7 linked regions of the Callithrix jacchus genome follow. The protein of the gene in region 6 purifies or fractionates together with the protein of the main gene of each other region. This does not show direct contact. Links are inferred from orthologs where the notes say so. Each region holds a gene or a part of one and is shown on either strand. Other genes may lie near its edges.

What was found.
Region 1: the proteins of AURKA (region 6) and PPP6C purify together in Homo sapiens (affinity purification with mass spectrometry; 4 studies listed by BioGRID and IntAct, with this or other methods). This does not show direct contact. The link is inferred for Callithrix jacchus from reciprocal best matches to the Homo sapiens genes AURKA and PPP6C.
Region 2: the proteins of AURKA (region 6) and ARFGAP1 purify together in Homo sapiens (affinity purification with mass spectrometry; 3 studies listed by BioGRID and IntAct, counting the BioPlex papers as one, with this or other methods). This does not show direct contact. The link is inferred for Callithrix jacchus from reciprocal best matches to the Homo sapiens genes AURKA and ARFGAP1.
Region 3: the proteins of AURKA (region 6) and WDR62 purify together in Homo sapiens (affinity purification with mass spectrometry; 3 studies listed by BioGRID and IntAct, counting the BioPlex papers as one, with this or other methods). This does not show direct contact. The link is inferred for Callithrix jacchus from reciprocal best matches to the Homo sapiens genes AURKA and WDR62.
Region 4: the proteins of AURKA (region 6) and PPP6R3 purify together in Homo sapiens (affinity purification with mass spectrometry; 6 studies listed by BioGRID and IntAct, counting the BioPlex papers as one, with this or other methods). This does not show direct contact. The link is inferred for Callithrix jacchus from reciprocal best matches to the Homo sapiens genes AURKA and PPP6R3.
Region 5: the proteins of AURKA (region 6) and FBXW7 purify together in Homo sapiens (affinity purification with western blotting; 5 studies listed by BioGRID). This does not show direct contact. The link is inferred for Callithrix jacchus from reciprocal best matches to the Homo sapiens genes AURKA and FBXW7.
Region 7: the proteins of AURKA (region 6) and DICER1 purify together in Homo sapiens (affinity purification with mass spectrometry; 4 studies listed by BioGRID and IntAct, counting the BioPlex papers as one, with this or other methods). This does not show direct contact. The link is inferred for Callithrix jacchus from reciprocal best matches to the Homo sapiens genes AURKA and DICER1.

What each region holds. Positions count from the first base shown.
Region 1 is NC_133502.1:173,787,365-173,791,623, forward strand, and holds the start of PPP6C (serine/threonine-protein phosphatase 6 catalytic subunit), read right to left. Parts: upstream 2,801-4,259; 5' UTR 2,706-2,800; coding exon 2,631-2,705; exon of another isoform or gene 2,413-2,630; intron 1-2,412.
Region 2 is NC_133506.1:58,775,968-58,779,467, reverse strand, and holds the end of ARFGAP1 (ADP-ribosylation factor GTPase-activating protein 1), read right to left. Parts: intron 3,428-3,500; coding exon 3,351-3,427; intron 2,347-3,350; coding exon 2,037-2,346; 3' UTR 194-2,036; downstream 1-193. UniProt on the Homo sapiens protein: GTPase-activating protein (GAP) for the ADP ribosylation factor 1 (ARF1). Involved in membrane trafficking and /or vesicle transport.
Region 3 is NC_133523.1:32,243,657-32,247,156, forward strand, and holds part of WDR62 (WD repeat-containing protein 62), read left to right. Parts: intron 1-1,516; coding exon 1,517-1,735; intron 1,736-3,204; coding exon 3,205-3,335; intron 3,336-3,500. UniProt on the Homo sapiens protein: Required for cerebral cortical development. Plays a role in neuronal proliferation and migration.
Region 4 is NC_133511.1:125,411,353-125,414,852, reverse strand, and holds part of PPP6R3 (serine/threonine-protein phosphatase 6 regulatory subunit 3), read right to left. Parts: intron 3,122-3,500; 5' UTR 3,116-3,121; coding exon 2,889-3,115; intron 1-2,888.
Region 5 is NC_133504.1:44,390,282-44,392,991, forward strand, and holds part of FBXW7 (F-box/WD repeat-containing protein 7), read left to right. Parts: coding exon 1-150; intron 151-1,769; coding exon 1,770-1,980; intron 1,981-2,710. UniProt on the Homo sapiens protein: Substrate recognition component of a SCF (SKP1-CUL1-F-box protein) E3 ubiquitin-protein ligase complex which mediates the ubiquitination and subsequent proteasomal degradation of target proteins.
Region 6 is NC_133506.1:52,021,421-52,023,875, forward strand, and holds the end of AURKA (aurora kinase A), read right to left. Parts: intron 1,765-2,455; coding exon 1,590-1,764; intron 1,446-1,589; coding exon 1,263-1,445; 3' UTR 501-1,262; downstream 1-500. UniProt on the Homo sapiens protein: Mitotic serine/threonine kinase that contributes to the regulation of cell cycle progression.
Region 7 is NC_133509.1:129,913,550-129,917,049, forward strand, and holds part of DICER1 (endoribonuclease Dicer), read right to left. Parts: intron 2,999-3,500; coding exon 2,843-2,998; intron 1-2,842. UniProt on the Homo sapiens protein: Double-stranded RNA (dsRNA) endoribonuclease playing a central role in short dsRNA-mediated post-transcriptional gene silencing.

The sequences.
Region 1 (4,259 bases), on a different chromosome or scaffold from region 6:
CGCGTGCCTGCAATCCCAGCTACTGAGGAGGCTGAGGCAGAATTGCCTGAACCCAGGAGGCAGAGGTTGCGGTGAGCCCAGATCGTGCCATTGCACTCCAGCCTGGGTAACAAGAGCGAAATTCCATCTCAAAAAAAAAAAAGAAAAGAAAAAAAGAAAAACAAATAGAAGCAAAGTATAATGCAGTTGTGTTCAATAGGAAATAAAATGGTCTAAAAACTATATTTCATTAAGGTAAGAAGGAAATCTAATGTTTATCAAAGTAAGAGGTCCAAAGAAGTCCAACAGATTCTTTTTTTTTTTGTGAGATGGAGTCTCCCTCTGTCACACAGGCTGGAGTGCAGTGGCTTGATCTTGGGTCACTGCAACCTCCACCTCCTGGGTTCAAGCAATTCACCCTGCCTCAGCCTCCCAGGTAGCTGGGATTACAGGCACTCACCACCACGCCAGGCTAATTTTTGCATTTTTTAGTAGAGATGGGGTTTCCCATGTCGATCAGGCTAGTTTCGAACTCCTGACCTCAGATGATCCGCCCACCTTGGCCTCCCAAAGTGCTGGGATTATGCCATGCCTGAGACGTTATCATAAAAAAAAAAAAAACATTTTATTTATCATAAACACAAAGTTTAAAAAAGCTTTACACATGATAAATAAAAAGAAAAAATTCCAAATCAATTCACTGACATGCAATAGTCAACCTCACCTACAGGATTAATAATGCTACTAAGAGGTCTGGTTAGTTTTCCATGAATTGGATCCCAATGCTAGTTGTATTCTTATTCCAAAAAAAAGAAAAAAGAAACACGCATAGCAGAAAGAAGCCACAAAACAAATGTCTGAAGGACTGATGAGTATGTATGCTACATTGCTACTAATGAAGGCTCTATCCTTATTTTAAATTATCCTATTAAAAATGGGAGCATACACAAGAATGACTCCCCTATAATATGCTTCATAAAATTAACATATAAGTACAATTCAGTTACATTCACAACAGCATGTGTGGCCTCAAACATTATGCATACTTGTTGACTTATGTTAAGTATCAACTTCCAATACCAAAGAAGAAACAAACAAAACCCACAGTAATATATTTCTTGAAGAATACACTAAGATAAATAACTAGCACAAGCTGATAAGCACTGCTAGAAACCTAATAAGCACTGGTTTCACCAAATGCATAAACACTTTTCAAAAAAGCAGCATACCTAGGACGGGTGCGGGGGCTCACGTCTGTAATCCCAGCACTTTGGGAAGTTGAGGTGGGCGGACCAATTGAGGTCAGGAGTTCGAGACTAGCCTGGCCAACATGGCAAAAACCCGTCTCTACTAAAAATACAAAACAGCCGGGTGTCAGCCACCTACTCGGGAGGCTGAGGCAGGAGAATCACTCGAACCCAGGAGGCAGAGGTGCAGTGAGCCAAGATCGCGCCACTGCACTCCAGCCTGGATGACAGAGTGAGACTGTTTCAATAAAAAATAATGATGGAAGGGAGCGGTGGCTCACATCTGTAATACCAGCACTTTGGGAGGCCAAGGCGGGCAGATCACGAGGTCAGGAGTTCAAGATCAGCCTGGCCAACATGGTGAAACGCCATCTCTACTAAAAATACAAAAATGAGCCAGACGTGGTGGCATGTGCCTGTAATCTCAGCTGCTCAGGAGGCTGAGGCAGGAGAATCGCTTGAACCCAAGAGGCGGAGGCTTCAGTGAGCTGAGATCAAGCCACTGCACTTCAGACTGGGCGGCAGAGACTCCGTCTCAAAGAAAAATAAAATAAATAAATAAATAATAAGTTGAAAAGAAAAGCAGTATATCAAACTCATTCCTTTACCCATACATACATTTACTTGGACTCAAGGGCAACGAGGAACTCGTCTTCTTTAGAAAACCAAGAAAACGAAATCTTGAGTTAAGAAGGGGTTAAGGGGAAAGTATTTGTATTTATTAAGAACCAACTACTTTCTCCACTTCAGTAAGCTCAACAAAATACTCAGAAACGGGTTCACCTCTGAATTAGCAGAAGAAAACCCACGGTCCTAAAAGGCAATTTGGAGAAGGTGGAGGAGTGGCAGAGAAGAGGGACGATCTGACATTCGCTCTCGTCAGTACCAAACCACTCGGACCCACCGCCTTCCCCTTCCTCAGAGACCTAAACAAACTGGGGCCGCGTTGCAAGAGCCTGTGGCAACTCCTGTCAGACGCCGGCCACTCTGCGCTCCTGTCACCTCCAACGGGGACGATCCCATCCCGAGGGCACTGCCGCGGGGGCTCGGCAGTGAATGCCGGAGATCCCGGGAAGGGGTGGAAAGCTGCTAAGCAAAGCTGTTGCAGCTACGGGTCCTGGGGCAGCCCGAAGGCCAAAAGGGGCGACCCTGGGGTAGAGGCCGCGAAATCCCTTGGGATACCCACTGAGGCAACTAGGACATCATTTGGGGGACTTGGTTCCCCCAACCATTGGCGTGACGCCGGGTCGGGCCGGGTCGCATGGCATCGGAGAGGGCCCTCCACCGCGGAGAGACGGGATACCCGGCGGGGGTCCCACGAAGAGAGGAAGGGCGGGCCGGCGGGCGCCCCACAGCCGGAAGGGGCGAGCCTGTAAGCAGCGCTCCCGCCCCGGCAGGGCTCACCTTCAGGTCGTTCTCTGGCAGGTATTTGCACAGCCGCGCTATCTCCACATACTTGTCTAGGTCTAGCGGCGCCATTTTGAGAATAACAAGCCGCGGCGACAGCGGCGGGGTCGGCGGCGGCGGCGGCTGTAAAAGCAGCGGCGGCGGCGGCAGCGGCGGAGGCCGAAGCCGGAACTCTCCTACGTCACGTCCGGACCGTGAGTGGCGTCTGCGCAGCGCCGTTAAAGCGCGACCCGCTTCTCCCCGCTACCTCGGTACGCCCGGCGCCCCCTCTGGCTGAACCCCGGCTGCAGGCCCCAAGAGGCCCCCCCATCGGTCCAGCCTGCGAATTCTGATGGGACCCGTAGTCGCCTGCCGCGGGTGTTGCCGGGATTTGTAGTTTTCCGTTGTGGACAGCCACCCCTTTCTTTTCCTCCCCTTCAGTTCCTCCAGACTTTCACCTCCCGGCAGCGGGCGAGGCTTTTCCGAGGCAAAACGGCGGAGTAGGTCGTCCTAGCCACTCACTCGTTTCTCCTTCCAACCCTTTTAAGCACTCTCTCACTTTCACTTAACAACTGGGTAAGCCTGGCCGTAGTAACTTGTTTGCATCTTTCCAAGTGCCTGTGAAAACCTCGCTTAAGCCTGTGGCACAAATGTCAGGCTCCAGCCTGAAAGGAAGATAAAGAAATATTAAAGCATTTCTTGGCCGGGCGCGGTGGCTCACGCCTATAATCCTAGCACTTTGGGAGGCCGAGGCGGGTAAATCACGACATCAAGAGATCGAGACCATCCTGGGCAACAAGGTGAAACCCCGTCTCTACTAAAAATACAAAAATTAGCTGGGCATGGTGGTGGCGCCTGTAGTCCCAGCTACTCGGGAGGCTGAGGCAGGAGAATTGCCTGAACCCAGAAGGCGGAGGTTGCGGTGAGCCGAGATCATGCCATTGCTCTCCAGTCTGGGTAACAACAGCGAAACTCCATCTCAAAAAAAAAAAACATTTCTTATGCTAAATGCGATACAAATTCTATTTTTCCATTTAATCTTTGTAACAATTGGTAGGAAAGTGAGACTTGGAGGCTTTAAGTAGTTTACCCCAAATCTCACAGGGAACAAATGGTGGGGCCAAGATTGGAAAATGGCTTAAGCTTAAGCATACTTCCAGTGAGAATCCCACGAAGGCAGGGAGTTTTCTGCTGTGACTCCAGCACGGAGAACAGTACCGCATACCTTCAGTAGTTTATTCAACCGCTCTTTATTGAGCAACAAAGATGTACCAGGTACAGCTGCAGGCGCTTGGAATACTTAGTGAACAAAATAGACAAAGATCTCTATCCTATCTGTAGCTACAAAAACTACCAAATTTAGCCGGGGGCAGTAGTGCGTGCTTGTGGTCCCAGCTACACTGGAGGCTGAGGCAGAAGAATCGCTTGAGCCCAGGAAATGGAGGTTGCAGTGAGCTGAGATCGTGTCACTGCACTCCAGCTTGGGGGACAGAGCGAGATCCTCAAAAATAAATAAAATAAAATTAGTAAAAGGAAGCTGCTGTATGGGACTGGGGTGGGGGTGCAATAGCTCTAGCTAAGAGATCAGTTAGGAGACTGTTATGTCATCCAATTGTAGCAGGTGCGCAATACATATTTGTTGCTCAA
Region 2 (3,500 bases), about 6.8 Mb from region 6:
TGGGTCACCCAACTGCCTACTTGCCAGGTCTGGCTCAGATGGGGTGAAGCCAAGGACTCCCCAGGAAGGCTGGGTGCAGCAAGGGACCAGGAGAAATGAGGGAGCCCAGTGCTCCACCGCCGCTCCCTGGGGATCCCATGACCCTACTAACACCACACTGAAAGTGGCCCCTTGGGATGCACCCAGACATTCCTCGTGCTCCCATGTGCTTTATTGGAAAGCTGTCAAGTCTGTGCCTTCCACATGGGCCCTCACACAGCCAGGCGAGGCCCCAGCGCCCACAGGTCCTGGGACACCTGCCCACACCTGCAGAAGGGAAAGGCCCTCACCCTCTGTGGAGGTGTCTTGGCCACCACATCCCGTTCCGAAGGTGGCCCCAACCCCTCCCAACACTGACAGCACTTTCCATTAGAAGGGACTGTCACCCTGCCCCCAAGCAAGGCACCTTCCCAGGGGGTGGGGGGATAGAGTTTGGGTTCCAGGATGGAATGCACCCCTCCTCAGAGCACTCAGCCCACCAGGATCCAAGCAGCCCTTGGGGAAAATCGCAAGGCCACCCAAGTCTCAGCTCAGGAAAGACATTCCAAGACCTCATGCTCCGCTCTCCAAGACTGACTTCCTGTGACCTCTGTGTTGGCCACTTTGCCCTGAGGCCTCTCAGCACCCCAAGCCTCTGACCCCAGGTCCAACTATAGCAGGTGGCTGCTTTGGTGACCAAGTCTGTGGCAGCCAAAGGCACAGGCCCTCCAGGTTGGCTACCAAGGGGGTTGGTGCCCACAGGGAGGAGCGGGTGCCAGGAGGGCTCCCTGAAATCTAGGACCCATCCTGTTCTGCAGGTGGCCGACTCCCTGAGGTGGGACGTGCGCAGGGCTAAAGGGCCAGGCTGCTCCAGGAGCGCTGCGGATGGCGGCTGGAAAGTGGGGTGATCAGGGAGCATGGCTGAGGCCATAGTGAGGAGCATGGCGGCAGGGGAGAGCACCTCACACACTGCACGAGCTTCCAGCACATGCACAGCTGGCCAAGACAGAGGGTCACACACAGCAGATGAGAGAGACTGAGTCACATGCAGCGGCATGTCATCCAGTACTTGGGGAAGGTCAGCATGGGGTGGGCACCAGGCTGCAGGGCAGCCCCATCCAACAGGTTCAAGCCAGCCAGGCTCCAGGCAGCCAACCAGACTCAAATGACAGAGAAGCCAGAGGGGGGTGTCAGAGGGACATGAGCACAGCTGCATGCTGGGGGCTGACGAGAAGCTGGACCTTCTCCAGACCCAGGCACTGCACACAGGTGACTCTAGCTCAGCCCCTCCTACTGTCGCACCCCACTGCACCGGGGCTGAGGGCCCACCCGGCCCCCCGCACTCCTTTGTCTTAACAGGGCATTCCAGAATAGTCAAGTTTCAGCACTGAGAACAGCTCAGGCATGGCCGTTGGGAGGTGTGTCCAGTGAATGTGGCGGCTGGACGAGGCCGATGCAGGGAAGCCACTCGGGGTAACGACATGGGCCCAGGCAGGCGTGGACACAGGAGCAAGGGTGGTCAGTGGCAGTGTGAGCGCCAGTGTCTCCTTCAGCATTGCCGTCTTTACCACTGCAGTCACTTTCTTCAAAGAAAGAACTAGAGCAAACCCAGAGTTAAACATCTCCACGAGACTCGGCTCCTTTCATCGCTGACAGCATGGCACGTGACTGGTCCCTGACCCTGGAGAAAATGTGTCAAACCAGCCACCGGAACACAGTTGTGAGGGTCCGTGCCGCAGCCCACCTCCCAGTAAGCCACACCGGGCCCCTGCTGGAGTCCAAGAATGCCCAAGGAGTGTGGGATGGGACAGCCCCCCGCAGGGGATGGAGAGCAAGCCGTCCCACGCACCGAGACCCCACGGTGGACAGGTGGCACGAACCCGTCTCCCCAGAGTCCTGCCTCCCAAGATGCTGTCCTCACACTGCGGTCACTGCTTCTTGGGTCAAAGGGAAGGAGAACGAGGGCAGAGTGCAAACACGAAGTCACCCAGAGCGCTGGGGACGGGGCTGCGGTGGCCCTACCAGTTCTGGTTGTCCCAGCCATCGTCGGCAGGCACAGCCGGCGGCACCGCCTTCTTGGCGCCCTCCCCACCCTCCCCACCATCACTGTTGCTGTTCCTGTTGGTGGAGGCTGAGCCCCACACCTCCCAGCTGTCGGAGCTCCTCCTCTCCGTGGAGGTGTCCGCGCAGGTCCAGCTGTCGCTGCTCGGGGACTTCCGGGCCTTGGCAGACTCAGTGCTCCCGAAGGTCTCCCAGAAGCTCTGGTCTATGGAGCTGTTCTGGAAGTGGTCTGGACCGCTGTTCTGGTAACTGTGGCCCTCAGAGGGGCTTTTAAAGAGACAGAAGGGGGACTGTGAATGTCACTCAGCCCACCACTCAGAATTCCGTGCCCCCAACAGCTCTGCACCTACAGTGACCACCAGGCCCTGTGGCGCCTTCCCAGGCCAGCATTCGGGGTCCACAGCAGCCCTGCCAGGCAGGAGCTGGTTCTCCCATTTTAGAGCAGAGGAAACTGTGCCAGGGACCTGGAGAACCAGGGCCCACTCTTTTACAGAAAATTTCTTTTTCTACCAGCTCTAACCTGCTATGTCATCAGTGGTTTAGTTAAGGGGGGAGGGGGAGGGGCACTGGCCTCGTGGGGACTCAGGCTCTCCCGAGAGATGCCCCCGCCGCATGTCGGCTCTGGACCAGGCCCTGCCCTCTGCCCTCAGTTGTAGTCATACCACTGAAACCCTATACACACACAGAGAGGGAAAGGACGTAGCAACTGTAGGGAAAGTTTGGGCCCATCTGGGGGCAGAGCATACGTGTTCACAAGGGCTGGCGTCTCAGTGGACAGCACAGGGCCAGGCCCTATGAGAGCCCTGTGGTTCCTGTTGGGGTCAGGGACTGAGAAGAGCAGCCAGCTTCTAGCAGGAATGCCTGGGGCACCCAGTGCCAAGGGCAGAGCTGGACACGGGGCCCAGGACAGGTCTTGGGGGTCCCAGCCCGGGGCCCAGGACAGGTCTTGGGGGTCCCAGCCCTACTGTCCCCTGGTCCCCTATCTGCTCCACCCACCCAGAGTCTGGGAGACAGAGGAATGGCAGAGCAGCGCCGACTCCTCCTCTGATCAGTGAGTAAGACTCTCCCTCCCACCCCAGCCTGAGGTGCCCAGCTCCTGCTCCAAAAAGCACACAGCCAGGGCAGGGACAGGTGAGACAGGCCCCCGAAGCGGCAGAGCACTAGAAGAGCTTTCCACGATGCCCCCCGCCCCCACACTGCCCAGCAAGGAAGCCGACCACCATCAAGAGAGGGGGTGGGACACAGGCTCGGGGGATGGGGACATGGTGTACCTGTCCAAGGGGCCTTCTGCTTTCCCTGAAAAAAAGGTGGTGACATCCCGCCATCCCTTACTGCTGACTCCCTGGACCTGGAAGGAGATGGGAAGAGAGGTTAGGAAGGCCCCATCACGGCAGAGGCACGCAAGCCAGTGCACACCGACT
Region 3 (3,500 bases), on a different chromosome or scaffold from region 6:
ATAAAAAAATTAAAATTAGGCCAGGCGCGGTGGCTCACGCCTATAATCCCAGCACTTTGGGAGGCCAAGGCGGGTGGATCACGAGGTCAAGAGATCGAAACCATCCTGGTCAACAATGTGAAACCCCGTCTCTACTAAAAATACAAAAATTAGCTGGGCATGGTGGTGCACGCCTGTAGTCCCAGCTACTCGGGAGGCTGAGGCAGGAGAATTGCCTGAACCCAGGTGGTGGAGGTTGCAGTGAGCCGAGATCGTGCCATTGCACTCCAGCCTGGGTAACAACAGTGAAACTCCGTCTCAAAAAAAAAAAAATTTTTTTTAAAGAAAAAATAAGGAGTGTTGGGGGTGGCAGTTTTAAGTAAACAGGAAAGGCCTCACTGGGAAAATATTTGAGCAGAGTTGAAGCAAGTGAGACAGGTAGATATTGGGACGAATGTTCCAGTCATAACAGCCTGTACATGTAAAGGCCATGAGACCAGGAGTTCAAGACCAGCTTAGGCAACATAGTGAGATCCCCATCTCTACACAAAATTTAAAAATAGCCAAGCATGGTGGTACACACCCATAGTCCTAGCTACGCAGGAGGCTGAGGCAGGAGGATCACTTGAGCCCAAGAGTTGGAGACTGCAGGATCGTGCTACTACACTCCAGCTTAGATGACAGAGACATTGTCTGTTAAAAAAGAAGAAAGAAAAAGAAAAGAGAGAAAGACAATGTGGATTATAAGAGACAGAATAAGAGAGGTAAATGAAAGATGATCCCAAGGTTGGGGCCTGAGCAACGGAAAAAATTACTGAAACGGAAGGTTCTAGGAGGAGCAGGTTTGTGGGGAGGAAATGAGTTGTCAGCACGTTAACTTTGAAATACCCACCAGACATCTATACAGAGATGTAGAGCAGTCACATGTGCAATTTGGAAGTTTCAGAGAAAGGTTCAGGGCCAGGCAATCTCAGCACTTTGGGAGGCCGAAGCAGGAGGATTGCCTGAGGCCAGGGGTTTGAGACCAGCCTAGGTAACATAGTGAGAGTCCACCTCTACCAAAAAAAAAAAAAAAAAAACAAGCTCGGTGCTTTGGCTCACGCCTGTAATCCCAACACTTTGGGAGGCTGAGGTGGGTGGATCACTTGAGGTCAGGAATTTGAGACCACCCTGGTCAACCTGGCAAAACCCCATCACTACTAAAAATGCAAAAATTAACCAGGCATGGTGGTGGGCACCTGTAATCCCAGCTACTCAGGAGGCTGAGGCAGGAGAATTGCTTGAACGCAGGAGGCAGAGGTTGCAGTGAGCTGAGGTCACACCACTGCACTCCAGCCCAGGAGACAGAGCAAGACTTCGTCTCATAAAAAACCCAAAAAAACAGAGAGAAAGGTTCCAGCTGGAGATACGTATCTGGAAGTTGTTTCTGAATGGTGTTGAAAGTCAGGAGGCCAGATGGGCTGTTTGAAATGTCCATGGCGCTCCCTGCAGTGGGTGAGCACTCAGCCAGCTTCCTGACTGTCCCATATCCTTCAAGCTAGGGGATGATGATGTGCCAGATGGCTCGGCCTTCCATGCCAAGCGCAGCTACCAGCCCCACGGCCGCTGGGCAGAACGGGCCGACCAGGAGCCACTCAAGACCATTCTTGATGCCCAGGACCTGGATTGCTACTTTACCCCCATGAAGCCCGAGAATCTGGAGAACTCCGTTCTGGATTCACTGGAGCCACAGAGCCTGGCTGGCCTGCTGAGTGAGGTGTGCACTTCCACCCCAGCCTGGCCAGCAGTCCCTGTACCATGACGGCCCCAGGGCCTGGGGCCTCAGCCTGACTCCCACTCCATGGGGGAAGGGAGGATTACATGAGATGGTGAAGGGCAGAAGGGTGAGCCCCAGGTCTGGTGCACAGCAAGACTTACCAGGGCAGACAGGAGTCTTTGGAAAGTGGGTCACTTCGGGGTTAAGAGCTTAGATGCTAGAGAAGGCTTATACCCAAGTGGGGTACATTTGGGTGGATCGACCACTGGCCGTACCCATTCCCGGTTTTGTGACCTGGAGTAAGAGACTTAACCTCTCTGGGCTTCAGTTTTTTAAAAGTAGTCATAATGGGGTCAGGCAGGGGCAGTGGGTAACACCTGTAATCCCAGCATTTGGGGAGACCAAGGCAGGAGGATCATTTAAAGATCACTTGAGGAGTTCAAGGCCAGCCAGGGCAACATAGCAAGGTCCCACCTCTACAAAAATATTTTTAAAATGTGTTTGTTTTGGTTTTTTTTTTCTTATAAAAAATTTTGTTTAGGGCCAGGTGCAGTGGCTCATGCCTGTAATCCCAACACTTTGGGAGACCAATGCAGGTGGATCACGAGATCAGGAGTTTGAGACCATCCTGGCCAACTTGGTCAAACCCTGTCTCTACTAAAAATACAAAAATTAGCTGGGCATGGTGGCACACACCTGTAATCCCAGCAACTCGGGAGGCTGAGGCAGGAGAATTGCTTGAACTGGGACCCGGGAAATGGAGGCTGCAGTGAGCCGAGATCATGCCATTGCACTCCAGCCTAGGCTACAGAGCAAGACTCCGTCTTAAAAAAAAAATGTTTTTGAATGGTGATAACAATCTCTTCTGCCCCAGAGGGCTTTACAGGAATCCATGCTAAGTATAGGCCTGGGCTCTTAAAGGTTGCTTTAGCTCTTTAGCTACTTTAGCTCTTATTATACTATTTGCCAAACAAAATTCTTTTTATCCTCTTCTATAATTTTTATTTTATTGTGATATAATATATATCCAGTAACATGCACAGATCTTAGGTATATATCTTGATGAACTACTTGTGTCATTCGTATGTGTCCACTACTCTGGGTAGAATCTGGAGTGTTTTCTACCTCCTGGAAACCGGTTTCTTCTGCCCGTCCTCATCAGGTCCTCCCACCAAGATAACCAGTGTTCTGACCTCTCACCACAAACTGGGCTTCCTATTCTTGAACTTCATACAAATAGACCCGTAGAGGGTTGGGCCTCCTATTTTTGGTGCCACACCTCTTCCTTATCTGTAAAGGGACTGATAGTGCAGGGGCAGCCCAGGACAAGCTGGTCTCGAGCAGAATGTGTGGCACAGGCCCTGGGTCACAGCCTCCAGCAGCAGGTCTGCCAGCATGGTTCCTGGCACACCATTGGTGGCCCCAGGTGCCATGGCTGGCTCAGAATGTCTGTGCTATTTTCCCCATAGTCAGATAGTCCCCAGGAGGCTGGCTGTGGGCACCCCTCCTTCCTGCCCCAACAGAGGGAATCATCGAATGAAGCCAGTGAGCTCATCCTCTACACCCTGGAGGCAGAAGTGACAGTCACAGGGACAGACAGGTGGGTGTCCTTTCCTCGAAGGGAAACTTAGTTGGAGGAAGCCCCAGCTGATAGGTGCACCCTGGAAGAACTGCTCTCTGCCTTCCCACTGGGCTTGTGGGAGTGGGGACAGTTGATGTGGGGATGGGGATGGAGTCAGGCCTTAGTTCCCTGGTTCCAGGTGGG
Region 4 (3,500 bases), on a different chromosome or scaffold from region 6:
CTCTGCAGGTGATCTCATTCAGACTTTATATGTCCTCAGTCCCACCTGCTGCGAGGCCTCATCTCCACCTGATGTCTCTAACAGGCATTTCGCCTTTGACAGGGCCAGATTCTACTAAAAATACAAAAATTAGCTGTGCCTGGTAGCAGGTGCCTGTAATCTCAGCTATTCGTGAGGCTGAGGAAGGAGAACTGCTTGAGCCCCGGAGGCAGAGGTTGCTGTCAGCTGAGATTATGCCATTCCCTGCCCCTTCCCTCTGCAATCTTACTTCACTGCCATAAAGCCACTCCATCCTCTCAACGGCCCAGGCCAAAATCCTCATAGTCACTCTGGACACTTTATCTACCGTTCCACACCTAGAGCAAACCCCTTCCGTTCTAACTTCATCTAGTACCTCCAAGAGTCTGACTGTGTCTGACCAAACAGGTCCACTAAGATCTTTTTTCTGTGCTGATCACTGTGGCCAACTGTACTTCCACTCTGTCCTCCTCCACGGGGCTAACAGAGCACTTCTGGGGAGCAAAGTCAGACCAAGGCACTTGCTCAAAACCCTGTGGTGGCTTCCCGTCTCAAGTAAAGCAAACATCCTGGCTGAGCCAACCAGGCCCTGTGTGGCCTGTCTCTACAGGTACTCCAACTCCACCCCAACCCTCCCTCCTTCCATTCTCCCTCATTCATGATGCTGCCCTTTCTCTGGATGCCCAGATGTTCTTGGGGTACACCAAGCACACGAGCACTTTAGGGCTTCCACACTTGCAGTTCCCTCTGCCTGGATGTTCCTTGTTGTCAAGTGCCCACTTGGCAACCCCCTTATTTCCTGCATGGCTCTGATCAGATGGCAGCATCTTAATGACGCCTTCCCTGAGCTCCTCTGCCCATCCTCCACCTTCAGCATCCCTGTCTCATCGTGCTTCATTTTTCTCCACAAGCCTTATCTGACAAACAATTGGTGGGCTTCTTAGCCTGGTCCACCCCAACAGAGCAATGACCACATCATCCCAATCTAAACTTCCTTAAATGACTATAGTCAACCCTAACCCTAAAACACTTTCGGGTCCCAGCTGAAAAACCCCTCTATGCTAATCTAGCTGTGGCGCACCCAAGGTACATTACACACAGGTGGCGACTGCTCAGGCCAGAAGCATGGCAGAGCACTGCACTATCCAGCTCAAGCAGTGCTCCTTCAAAATGGTGCGTGCAGAAGGCCAGGTCCACGGGAGGCACATTTGCTCTTGCAACCTCAAAGGCAAAAATGCTGGCAAAGCAACATAATACAAGTGTCACACTGTTTAAAACGGGGGGGCCACTACTTCTTTGGGGGAAAGTAAGCCCTTCATATAAGGCATGCCTACTTTTCTGATTAAACCATTACTAGCCTCACTCAGCATGTGAGGAAACAGACCCAAGAAGGGTAAGCTCTCTACCCAAGCTCTCAGATGGGAAGAGAAGAGGGTGGGCTGATCCAAAAACTGTGCTCTTTGACCCAGACCACACCCTCCAACGAGGACAAGCCCCAGTGCAAGCAGCACCACCCACATGCTGGTTCACTGTGAAGGGAATTCCAAGCAGTAAAGTGTCTCTCGTTTGGGGGATGAGAGCACACCAGCATGTCTGCCACCAGATTTCTTTCCTCCTCCATTTTTTTTTTAAATGTTGCCCAGGCTGGAGTGCAGTGGCACAATCTCAGCTCTCAGCAACCTCTGCCTCCAGGGCTCAAGCAGTTCTCCTACCTCAGACTCGTGAATAGCTGAGATTACAGGCACCTGCTACCAAGCCCAGCTAATTTTTGTATTTTTAGTAGACTTGGGGTTTTACCAAGTTGGCCAGGTTGATCTCGAACTACTGACTTCAGGTGATCCACCTGCCTTGTCCTCCCAAAGTGCTGGTATTACAGGCATAAGCCAGAGTGCACAGCCCTTCCTCCTTCTTTTTAAGACTCTAATCTCTGAGTGAAGGCTTTCACTAAATTCTAGGTGTCAATGTTAATGGCTGGCAGAGAACATGACATCCTTGAAGATCTAAGCCACTAGCAAGTTGAAAGCATTAACAAGTATTATTTCCCAAACAGCACATTTTTCCCCAAGAAGGAAGGAAAAGATGTCCTGACAAGAACGATAAACTGGGAAAGAAATGGCAAGAGAGACACTACTGAAAGCCTAACTCTTCCTATTCCGTTAAGTTATGTAATGCATCAATTTTTGTTTCTCAAGTTGCTCTATTTTCTGGGGGAAAAAGAGCCAAATATTTTAATAGAGTTGGATATGGAGAAATACTTAATTGAAACCCCAATACTTTACATATCTATGGAGAGTTTCCAGGGGTTTGTATAAAAAGTGTTACAGTGATGGTAATAAAGGATTCTCACTACACTGTGGTTCTGCTTGTAAACAGACTAGACTAGCAAACAAAATCCACTGTAGTTATCCATGGTGTGAGCAGCTACACCGACGTTCACTAATACCCACTCCCTTACTTTCAGTTGATAAAAGGTCAGACTGTATTGTATAGGCAACGTTCTTCAAAACCCCAAGCTCTGGCTTGGATCCACCATGCAATTCTGTGTAGTCATATAATCTCCACCTTCCTATTTGTAAAGTAAGTATTTTAATCATCTGACTGTTTTGAGAAATTTGTCATCATTGTTTACAAAACACACTGCCTTTCCAGAAAACTTTTGAATGAAATTCAGAACACTCATTTCTAAACTCTTGTGATTCCCTGGACTGAGTTCTGGAATGGATTCTGTGCTCCACTGAGCCAGTCCTTGACCATCTTACCCTTCTGTAAATGGTGACAGTCGCACTGGAGAATTCTTGAGCAAGAACTGTAATATCCTACCCCGCACCTCACTTTAGTCCCACCCTAGAGAGAAGATTAAATTGTCTTACTTGTATCTGATCTTCTCATCCATGTCTTGAGGTGGTTCTTCTATAATGAATGAGACTAAATCTTCGAGACATTCTGCTTTTAACAGAAACTCTATAAGTTTGCGGTTCTGAGCTTTACATTCTTGTAAAACATCTTCCTCATCCATTAACTCCTTCAGTGTTACATCTTCTCTTTCTAGAAGTGTGTCTATGTGGGATGATGAGTGAAGATCAAATTTCCAAAACATGCTGGTCTAAACAAAATGCAGAAAATACTTCATAAAATCTCAACTTTACACACTGATTTTCCATAATTCATGTTTCAGTTCAGTTACAGTCTAAAATGCCAACTTGGCTCACATAAGTTAAATAAGCTTCACAATGAACCTATAAAATACTTTTTAATGTGTAACTGGCAGGATTTTTATCCTTCTCGAAAAGAAAATATTTTAATTGATAAAAAATTTTGACTTGAAAATGCTGAAAGCTAAAACTTGGAATGATTTTAACCTTCAAAAGGAATTCATCCATACCGTGTTAAGAAGTGATGCTGGAAAAGGAGTGAATTCACTCTCTTCTTAAAGGGGAAGAACAGAATGTCTTCAGCAACAAGGGATAAGCAGTGAGGCCTAA
Region 5 (2,710 bases), on a different chromosome or scaffold from region 6:
GGTCATGTTGCAGCAGTCCGCTGTGTTCAATATGATGGCAGGAGGGTTGTTAGTGGAGCATATGATTTTATGGTAAAGGTGTGGGATCCAGAGACTGAAACCTGTCTACACACGTTGCAGGGGCATACTAATAGAGTCTATTCATTACAGGTAAGAGATCTTTATCTGTCTCTTAGATGCTCTCCTGATGAATCATAAGGTTGTTTTACCCAGATAATAACTGTCAAATTGCTGATCCAATATAGTCCAAAAAAAGATTAAACAGATTATTCTGCTGTTTATATACACTTTAAAATTGGCATGAAGAAAGTATAAATTTCAAAATTATTTAAATGCTTTCAACTTTCTGTAATCTATTTTCCCTGTGAAATACAAATATTTGTCTTGCAACCTGACACTTTGGGACTCTTGCTATGTTAATTAATGGCTAAATAGTCTCATAGGAGAGTAACCTGGATTTTAAGAAACTCCTTTGCCAGAGGATTAATATGGCCAAAACTGCCCCTTTGCTTTGATAGCTAAAAGTTGATGGACCATGTAATTGTGATTCCATCCCCGTTCAGAGTGGAAATAGATCCTTTCTACATAAAGCACGCTGCTATCCCAGAGGCACTGATTTGTAGTCATAAAGAAGTAAAGTTGACTAAGCTGATTTTTTTTTTTTTTGGTTTACATTTCAAGCCAGTATCCTTAAAAACATTGCCGTATTTTAAGATCGTTAACTAGATGAATAGAAGGTTTAGAATATGAATCTTGTTTTATTTCCAGAAAGGCAACATTTTCAATTTTTAAATATTTTCTGTAGCTTATATAGTTTATTTGCCAGTTACTGCCCATTAATGTTCAGCAAATTAGTACATAATCTTAGTACTGACAGTTCTTTTCTTAGGATATTTGTTTGTTTGTCGAAGGGATATTGTCCGTGTCAGGAAATACGGGCAATATGATAAAGATGTTTGCTAAATTAGAAAAGGTGATGAATTTGGTGGAAGGGGAATTGGCTGCAACTGTTTGTATGTTTTGTGATATGCTCAGAAGGCTAATCAATATAATATTCTAATTTAAATAACCTATTTGACTGAGAAAAGAGGTAGCCACATTATTATATAGAAATGATAGATTGTTATTGGCTTTTGGTGTAGCTGGGAAGCTGGAGAAGAGGTAGTTTGTAGTGTGCTTTTGATGTCAAAATGCCACCTCTTCTGATTCCAGATATAATTATCTTTTGGCACATTTCCTAATTAACATTAGGTTCTTATAAGTGAAATTTTATTTTACACACAGTTTTTAATGGAACTTACTTTTGAACATCACAAAAGTTATCTCTAGCCCTTTTCATGCCTTAGGTGCTAATAAGCACTCCATTTATCATAAGCTATGTCATTAGTTTCAACTTCCTAGTGGGAAGTAAAACTCAAATAACAGTTCTGTCAATCACATGGTATATAGCTAAGTGGGGACAGATGATTTGAAAATTAATATATTGTTCGTTTTAGGTGCTTTGTTTTCATTTTAAGTTGTTTCTGCATCTAGTTTGAAGCTGCTGGGTGTAAAGATGAGCATTTCTGATAGAAGTGTCTGAGAACATACATTGTAGAGTTGCTTGATGACATGCACTTTATTCTCATTGCCAGTTTATCCTAGCACCTCATTTTGTTCCTGGCATTACCTGTTTCCCATGCTCTTCCCCCATTCCTGCTAGGATTAAGGTCAGTAATTAATAGGAAAAGTATCCTTACTTCTATTCTAATAAACTGTGTCTGTTGTAGTTTGATGGTATCCATGTGGTCAGTGGATCTCTTGATACATCAATCCGAGTTTGGGATGTGGAGACAGGGAATTGCATTCACACGTTAACAGGGCATCAGTCGTTAACAAGTGGAATGGAACTCAAAGACAATATTCTTGTCTCTGGGAATGCAGATTCTACAGTTAAAATCTGGGATATCAAAACAGGACAGTGTTTACAAACATTGCAAGGTAAGTGTTGGTTACTTACCTTTAGTTTTGTTCATTGAAAATGAAATTGTTATTTAAGAGAAATAGGGAGCTTTAGCATTACAAAAATAGCCAACCTCATACAGAATACTTACTTCAGAAAAGTTTATGAATATTTTTACCCTGACTTACAGAACTAGTCTACTCTTGAGATGTTTTAAACTGTGTTTTTAATATGTAATATAAAATTGTTTAATCACTTCCTGCATGTTCAGTTGACTCTACTTAACCTTAAAGAACAGTGAGAAGAAAGATCTGGCTGTATTATAGAAGCAACTTACTCATTATAATTTTTGATTGACCATTGCATTTTTAATTTGTTCAATTTTAAAGGGCTACCTTATTGGGAAAAAAAGCATCCCTGATAGAAAATTGCTTTGGCCTCCATTTAGTCACATGCTTACCTGGAATGGAGAGGAATAATAGTACCTACTAAAATAGAGAAAGAGACAAGTGAAAATCACTAATATTAGATGAGGTATAACAGTGTCTCATGATCAACTTTTTCTATTTGGTGTAGCCCTTAGAAAGTGGTTTTTTTTTTTTTTTTTTTTTTTTTTCTTTGGTGGGGCCATCTGATAGGCAACATTGCAGCTTTTTACTCATTGGTTTTGTCTTGCCTCAGAGTTTTGGAATAGTGTACATTCAGCTTTGACTGGTTCATATTGGTGAGGGTAATAGATCTCTTAGTGCTTATTTGTCCATCAGCAGA
Region 6 (2,455 bases):
AACGTCCCAAGTTTCGCTGGTATCACTGGGGAAGTTGGTCACGTGATAGTAACTATAGTTTGGGAGGGTGGCACACGAACTATTTGGGAATGTCAAAGTCAGCTCAGCTCCTTTGTCCCAAGGGGGTTGGCAACTGCAGTTTTACTCAGTTGTGTTTTTAAGGTTCTCTATCTCAGCCACTTGGTTATGATATATCCTAACATACCTGCTGTCTAGTTTCCTGCACAGAGCATTGGCCATGCAAGCAGATTTCCTCTACTAGCTCCAAGTTCCAGCACTTCCACCATTCCCTCCTCGTGGTCATGTGCACCATTATCTTTAGTCAATGGACAGATGACAATATATAACAAATATGTAAACAATATATATAATGAAGTATTAGGAGTACACCCAACAGGGAGAGACCAGAAGAGGGCAGCGAGGCCTGCTTCTCTCAGCACCTGCTCATTTCTAGGCCAACAACAAACAGGTGATGGGAAGAACTACACAGTACTCCAACAGACATAGATACTTATTTATTTGCATAAAGTTTCCACATATGCCATTTTAAAACTCCAGTGGTTTTTAAAAAATAAGCCCTTAACAGCTCTGAGACACATGGCCCCTTCTGTATCCCAGGCAAGTTCCTAATTGGAGGTAGAGCACGTGTTCCTATTTTACACACACTCATAAGGGAGATAAGTGGTTAAGGACTAGAAACCCAACCAGGCCTTCCGGAGTGCTGAACACACACAGCATTCCTAAGGAAATGCCACCAGGGAAAAAATACAAGTCTGTACAAATATCTTTATTTTCACACTTAAAAAGAATCACATACTCATTCTAACAGCTTTACCAGGCTTGGCCAACCCAATAAGTTACACACTCACTCAGGTACATGGAAGGTTATTGCACAGCTCCTTAACTGATCGAGTCAGGGCAAAGTGTTCACTTTCCCCACAGCCAGACTCTGGATTTGTCTCCTGTGAGGACACCATGCCTGGCACAGGCTGAGGGGGTGGCTGCAGTCAAACCTTGCCCTCCAGATTACAAACCAGTGTAAGTAGCACAATTCTTGTGGCTACCTTCACTTCAGAGTGTCATGTTTATTGACATGGAGCTTTCTGAATAGGGCGGTTAAGGCACCTGCTTAGTAAAACAAATATTTCTTGTAGCGTCCTAAATTGAGGGCAGCAGTCAACAATAAGATAAATGTCAGCGGCATGTTCCTGACAGGTTGTGCAGCAGCCCTGGGCTCAAGGATTTCTCCCCCCGCACGATTCCTAAGACTGTTTGCTAGTTGATTCTTTGTTTTGGGAATTTGATGGTTTTGATGAATTTGCTGTGATCCAGGGGTGTTCAAGTACTTCTCTGAGTATTGGCCTCTGGCTGGGATTATGCTTCAACAGTCTTGAAATGAAGTCCCTGGCTCCCTCTGTTACAAAGTCAGGGAATGTGAATTCAACCTGGAATACAGCAAATGATAAAATATCACAAAACACAAGTTAGAGAGATCAAATAGTATAGATATTCAGATCTTGGCCTGAAGTTCAGGCTGATAAGAAAAGAATTCCAGCAGAAGTGCTGGGTCCTTTTCAGTGACATCTTACCCGTGATATCCTTTTGTAGGTCTCCTGGTATGTGTTTGCCTCAAAAGGAGGCTTCCCAACTAAAAACTCATAGCAAAGAACTCCAAGGCTCCAGAGATCCACCTTCTCATCATGCATCCGACCTTCAATCATTTCGGGGGGCAGGTAGTCCAGAGTGCCGCAGAGAGTGGTCCTCCTAAAAACAGAGGGAGGCTCAAGCTGATGTGCTTCTGGTTTCATGATCACAATAGCTGCTAAAATCATTAATTCCACAAACACTGAGCACTTCCCTGGGCCAGATCCTGTGTCCTAGGAAGTAGCTTCTATTATAAATTCCCATGGGAAACAGAGTAAGGTCACACCGCTAGCCACCAAACCTTAATCCCAAATTTGTCCCACTCCAGAACCTCCCTGAATGATCTAGAATGTAAGAAACTGAATGTATCACTACCACATAAAAGCTACCATGCAATGTTCTCTGTAAATACAATTTAGAGTTCTACATCTACATATAGATATTACAAATATGCTAAGACTTAAAAGCCTGGTGGCAATGACATAACACTAGAAACTGTCCCACTGTAACTGCACTGGGGTTGGAGACGTAGATGCGTGCTGCCTTGTGGTAGATCTTTGGTACAAGAGATGCTGAAATTCTGAGGGTGACCCATGAAATACTCTTGCCAAAAGTATTTAATCTCTTCAGGCCCTGAGGCCTAAGTTCCAGTTTTCAGCAAATATAGGTCCAAGTTTAGTGGCAACACAATCAGAAAAGTCCACTTTAAGAGACTGGTCTGGCTTAAGACCACAGAGACAATCAAATACAGAGCATGGGGCTTGATTTTACAAACCAGCTATAAAACATCATGGACAATAGGACTAAATAT
Region 7 (3,500 bases), on a different chromosome or scaffold from region 6:
ATGTCCACAATGCAAAATTTCAACTAAGAAGTCTAACTCCAGCAGGACACACAATGAAAGCACTCATAAACTGATCACAGATAGCTTCAATTTTGCTGACAAAGTTTGAAAATGTGGTAATTTGATTTTCAAAAAGATTTTCAAATTAATAAAATGAAATTCTGGATGTAGAAAAGCATTTCCTTTGCAATTAAGAATATAAAACCAGGTAATATTTTTAAAACATTAAAATGTACAGTAGGATTTTATAATAAAGCTTTTGTCCCTATTTCTACTTCAAAGTAAACTTGCTACAATAAAAAAACTACATTGCTTTGCTTAAAAAATAAAAGTGATCACTATGCTAAGCTATGAATTTGAGAAATTATGCTTTTCCTCTCCACTCTGAGCTACAGTAATCAAGGGAACAGATTATAGCATAACTGACAAAAACAGAAGAAAATTTAGACTAACATGCAACACAACAATCCAATTTCTGTCAAAAGATCTTTGCTAATTCCAATTTCTTTGGCAAAAGCTTATTTGTGAGTGACAATCTTAATAATGGGCTCGATTTTAGTAATGATGTAACTTTTTTGCAATCCTAGAAAGATGCCAAATTTCTGTTATGCAACTTTTTTAAAAAAACAAAAACCTTTACTTTTGGGCAGAGGTGGGGGAAGGCGAAGGGTGTCTGTCAATGTTGATTGTAACAACTTTCCAGAATGTTCTGACAAAAAAAGTTACAGCCTTCAAGCATTTTTTAAATACTACAAATATTTCATTTTAAACCAGACTCAAAAGAGATATAAACACTGTATTTGTCTGAAAAGAAATAGCAGTAAGTCAAGCCATATCTATATCTTTTCATTGTTTTAATTAAGAAAAAAACACTTTTCAAGAACAAGGAAGAATACCAAAAGAAACTGCAGTGGCAGACCTCAAGGAACTATTTTCTGCTAAAAGTCTTATGCTTTTCCAAGGCAACATGAAGATGCTTTTGATTACTGTTTGGTCCTTAAGACAAAAAAGGGCTAAATTGCAATTTTTAAAAAATAAGACAGTATGTTTTTTAATTGGGAAAAAAAAAAAAAAAAAAACTTCTGTATCTTTACAAAGGTGCTACCATAAGCCAAAAGTGGCAGAGCACAAAAATCACAAAGGGCTGACTTTTATCCCAAACTGTGTGATCCTGGGCAGAGCCTTTTAGTGCCTCTGGGTTTCAGATTCTTCACCTACAAAAGAATGGGGTTCTATCTCATAAAATGTTTTTCAAGAGCACTTCAAGCCTTTTAAGAAAAAATAGCGCATGAAATCCTTTTCTCTGACAGTTCAAGTCAACTTTGACACTCTCTTCCAGTAAGAGGCTAAGTTTTAGCATGCAAAGGTTTCAGTTAAGCCCATTTGCTGAAGGGCCAGAGAAAAGCAGGAAGATCAGCAACGCAACCAGCCAAAACCACGGTGTATCTTTTCAATATAATGCAAGGGCCTATATTTCAATAAAAATAAGTTCAATAAGTAAAAATCCAAACAGTATTTCTAATGAATTCCAATAACCAAAGTGCCAAGAGAAACATTAAGAAAAATAAATTGAACTGTGTTGTATCTTAAAAAAAAAAAAAAAAAAAAATCAACATGGCATGCCAATGTCACCTTTATGCTACACGTTTTTAAAAGAGCCAAATATGTTATGAAAGGTATTAACAAAGAAGGATGACTACTACTGGCATGTTATTTATAGAAATAAAATACTATTTCCAAAGCTCAAAATCTATACATTTTCCTCTAAGGTTTTACTTATTTCTAAATTAATAACAAATAATTGTTCTGACCTAACTTGCATTAAAATATTCCCTTAATGCTTTTCCAAATAAGTTCTAATTTTGTAATAAGACAAATACTACATGAGTTAAAAATATCCTCAATAAACAGGTAAAAATCAGAATAGTGTCACAGAACATGCTACCTGGAAATACTTAAAGGCAGATATATAGGATACATGTGTCAGAAAGTAGGCATGAAGAAAATGTATATTCAGAAAATATAACCAGTGAAAGAAACAAATGGTGTTATCATTGTTGGCCTGAAGTAAAAATGAAGTAATAATGAGCCAATTTATCTTTCATGCAAAATAAATCTCCAGGAAATTAAAGTGTCTGAAGCATTGCCTTTAACTTTGGAAGAGGCACCAGAACTCTCCCAGTCAACAACCACCACCGCATTGACTCCTGCAGCTCAGAGGCCCTCCCAGGTGCCCTCTGGTGGCCTTCAAGACAAGACAAAATGAAGCAGCTGTTGCTGACACTTGGAGTCTTAAGTCACCAGCAAGATTTAAATTATTTCCAGAAAATAATAATCTTTATGAATGATTTTTTTTTTAAGTTCACAGGAGTCCTGACTGGGAAAACCCTGAGCTACAAAAGCAAGATTCAAGATAAATTGAAATGAATTATTTCACAGACAGACTGGAGATAACAGGTCACTGAAAAGTCATTTATTTCACTGAACAGAGCTAAGGATCTAGGATAAGTTGTAATAAATAACAGCAAAGCAAATTAAAAAAAAAAAACAGCAAAACCCAAAGTCAAAACATCACATACTGTTATGCCTTCGGAAAATAAATAATCACATACTCTTATGCCTTTGGAAAATAAATAATAAAAATAATAAATAATTCCTCATCAAAATTATAACACTATTTCTGAATTCTGTGAAAAGACAGTATATTTGAAGGAATTAATTGAATATATCAAATATCTATTATAAACATACCAAGAAAAGGAAACAAAAAGTTAATAAAACAAAATTCTCTGGCTCACCAAAAAGTAAATCCCTCTAGTTACACACACAAAAAAAACCTTACCATTTCATCTTTTTCCCATTTATCTGTGTTGCTTTTGTCTTGATTTACTACATAACCAGGAGGAAGCCAATTCACAGGGGGATCAAATATTGACACCACCATGCGGCTGGGCAGTCCCTTCTTTTTTCCAAGGCGATACAGATTACAGTTGCTGACCTTTAGCAGAAAATATTAGGACACTTATCTATAAATGATCACTGCTGGAATTCATTCAAGGCATATTAACATATCCTCAGTTAAATGTTCTTCAAATTAATTAATTATACGGTCATCAATTAATTATAAGGGCTCTAGAGTTTTTCGACCCATCTATGTTATAAAGAGTATTATAACAGCCATGGAAACTGGCAACTTGGGAGCAGGGGCAAGGATGGTAAATACTTCTGAATATAAGATGTAGAGGACAAAAAATAATGTATGTAACTGTGCAAATTCCTTATGAATGAGAAGAAACAGTTCAGACAATATCAAAGCCTTGAAAATACAACCTGATGATGTAAAATGCAAGCTGCTAATTGGAATTATCAAAGTAAAAAAGAACCCATATAAAAAGTCAAGATGTCACGATATCTTCAATGAAATGGGGGGATGATACCATCAGCTCTAGCTGCAAAGTGAAAACTGGCACCGAACAGAACTCAAAGAATGTTATATTCCT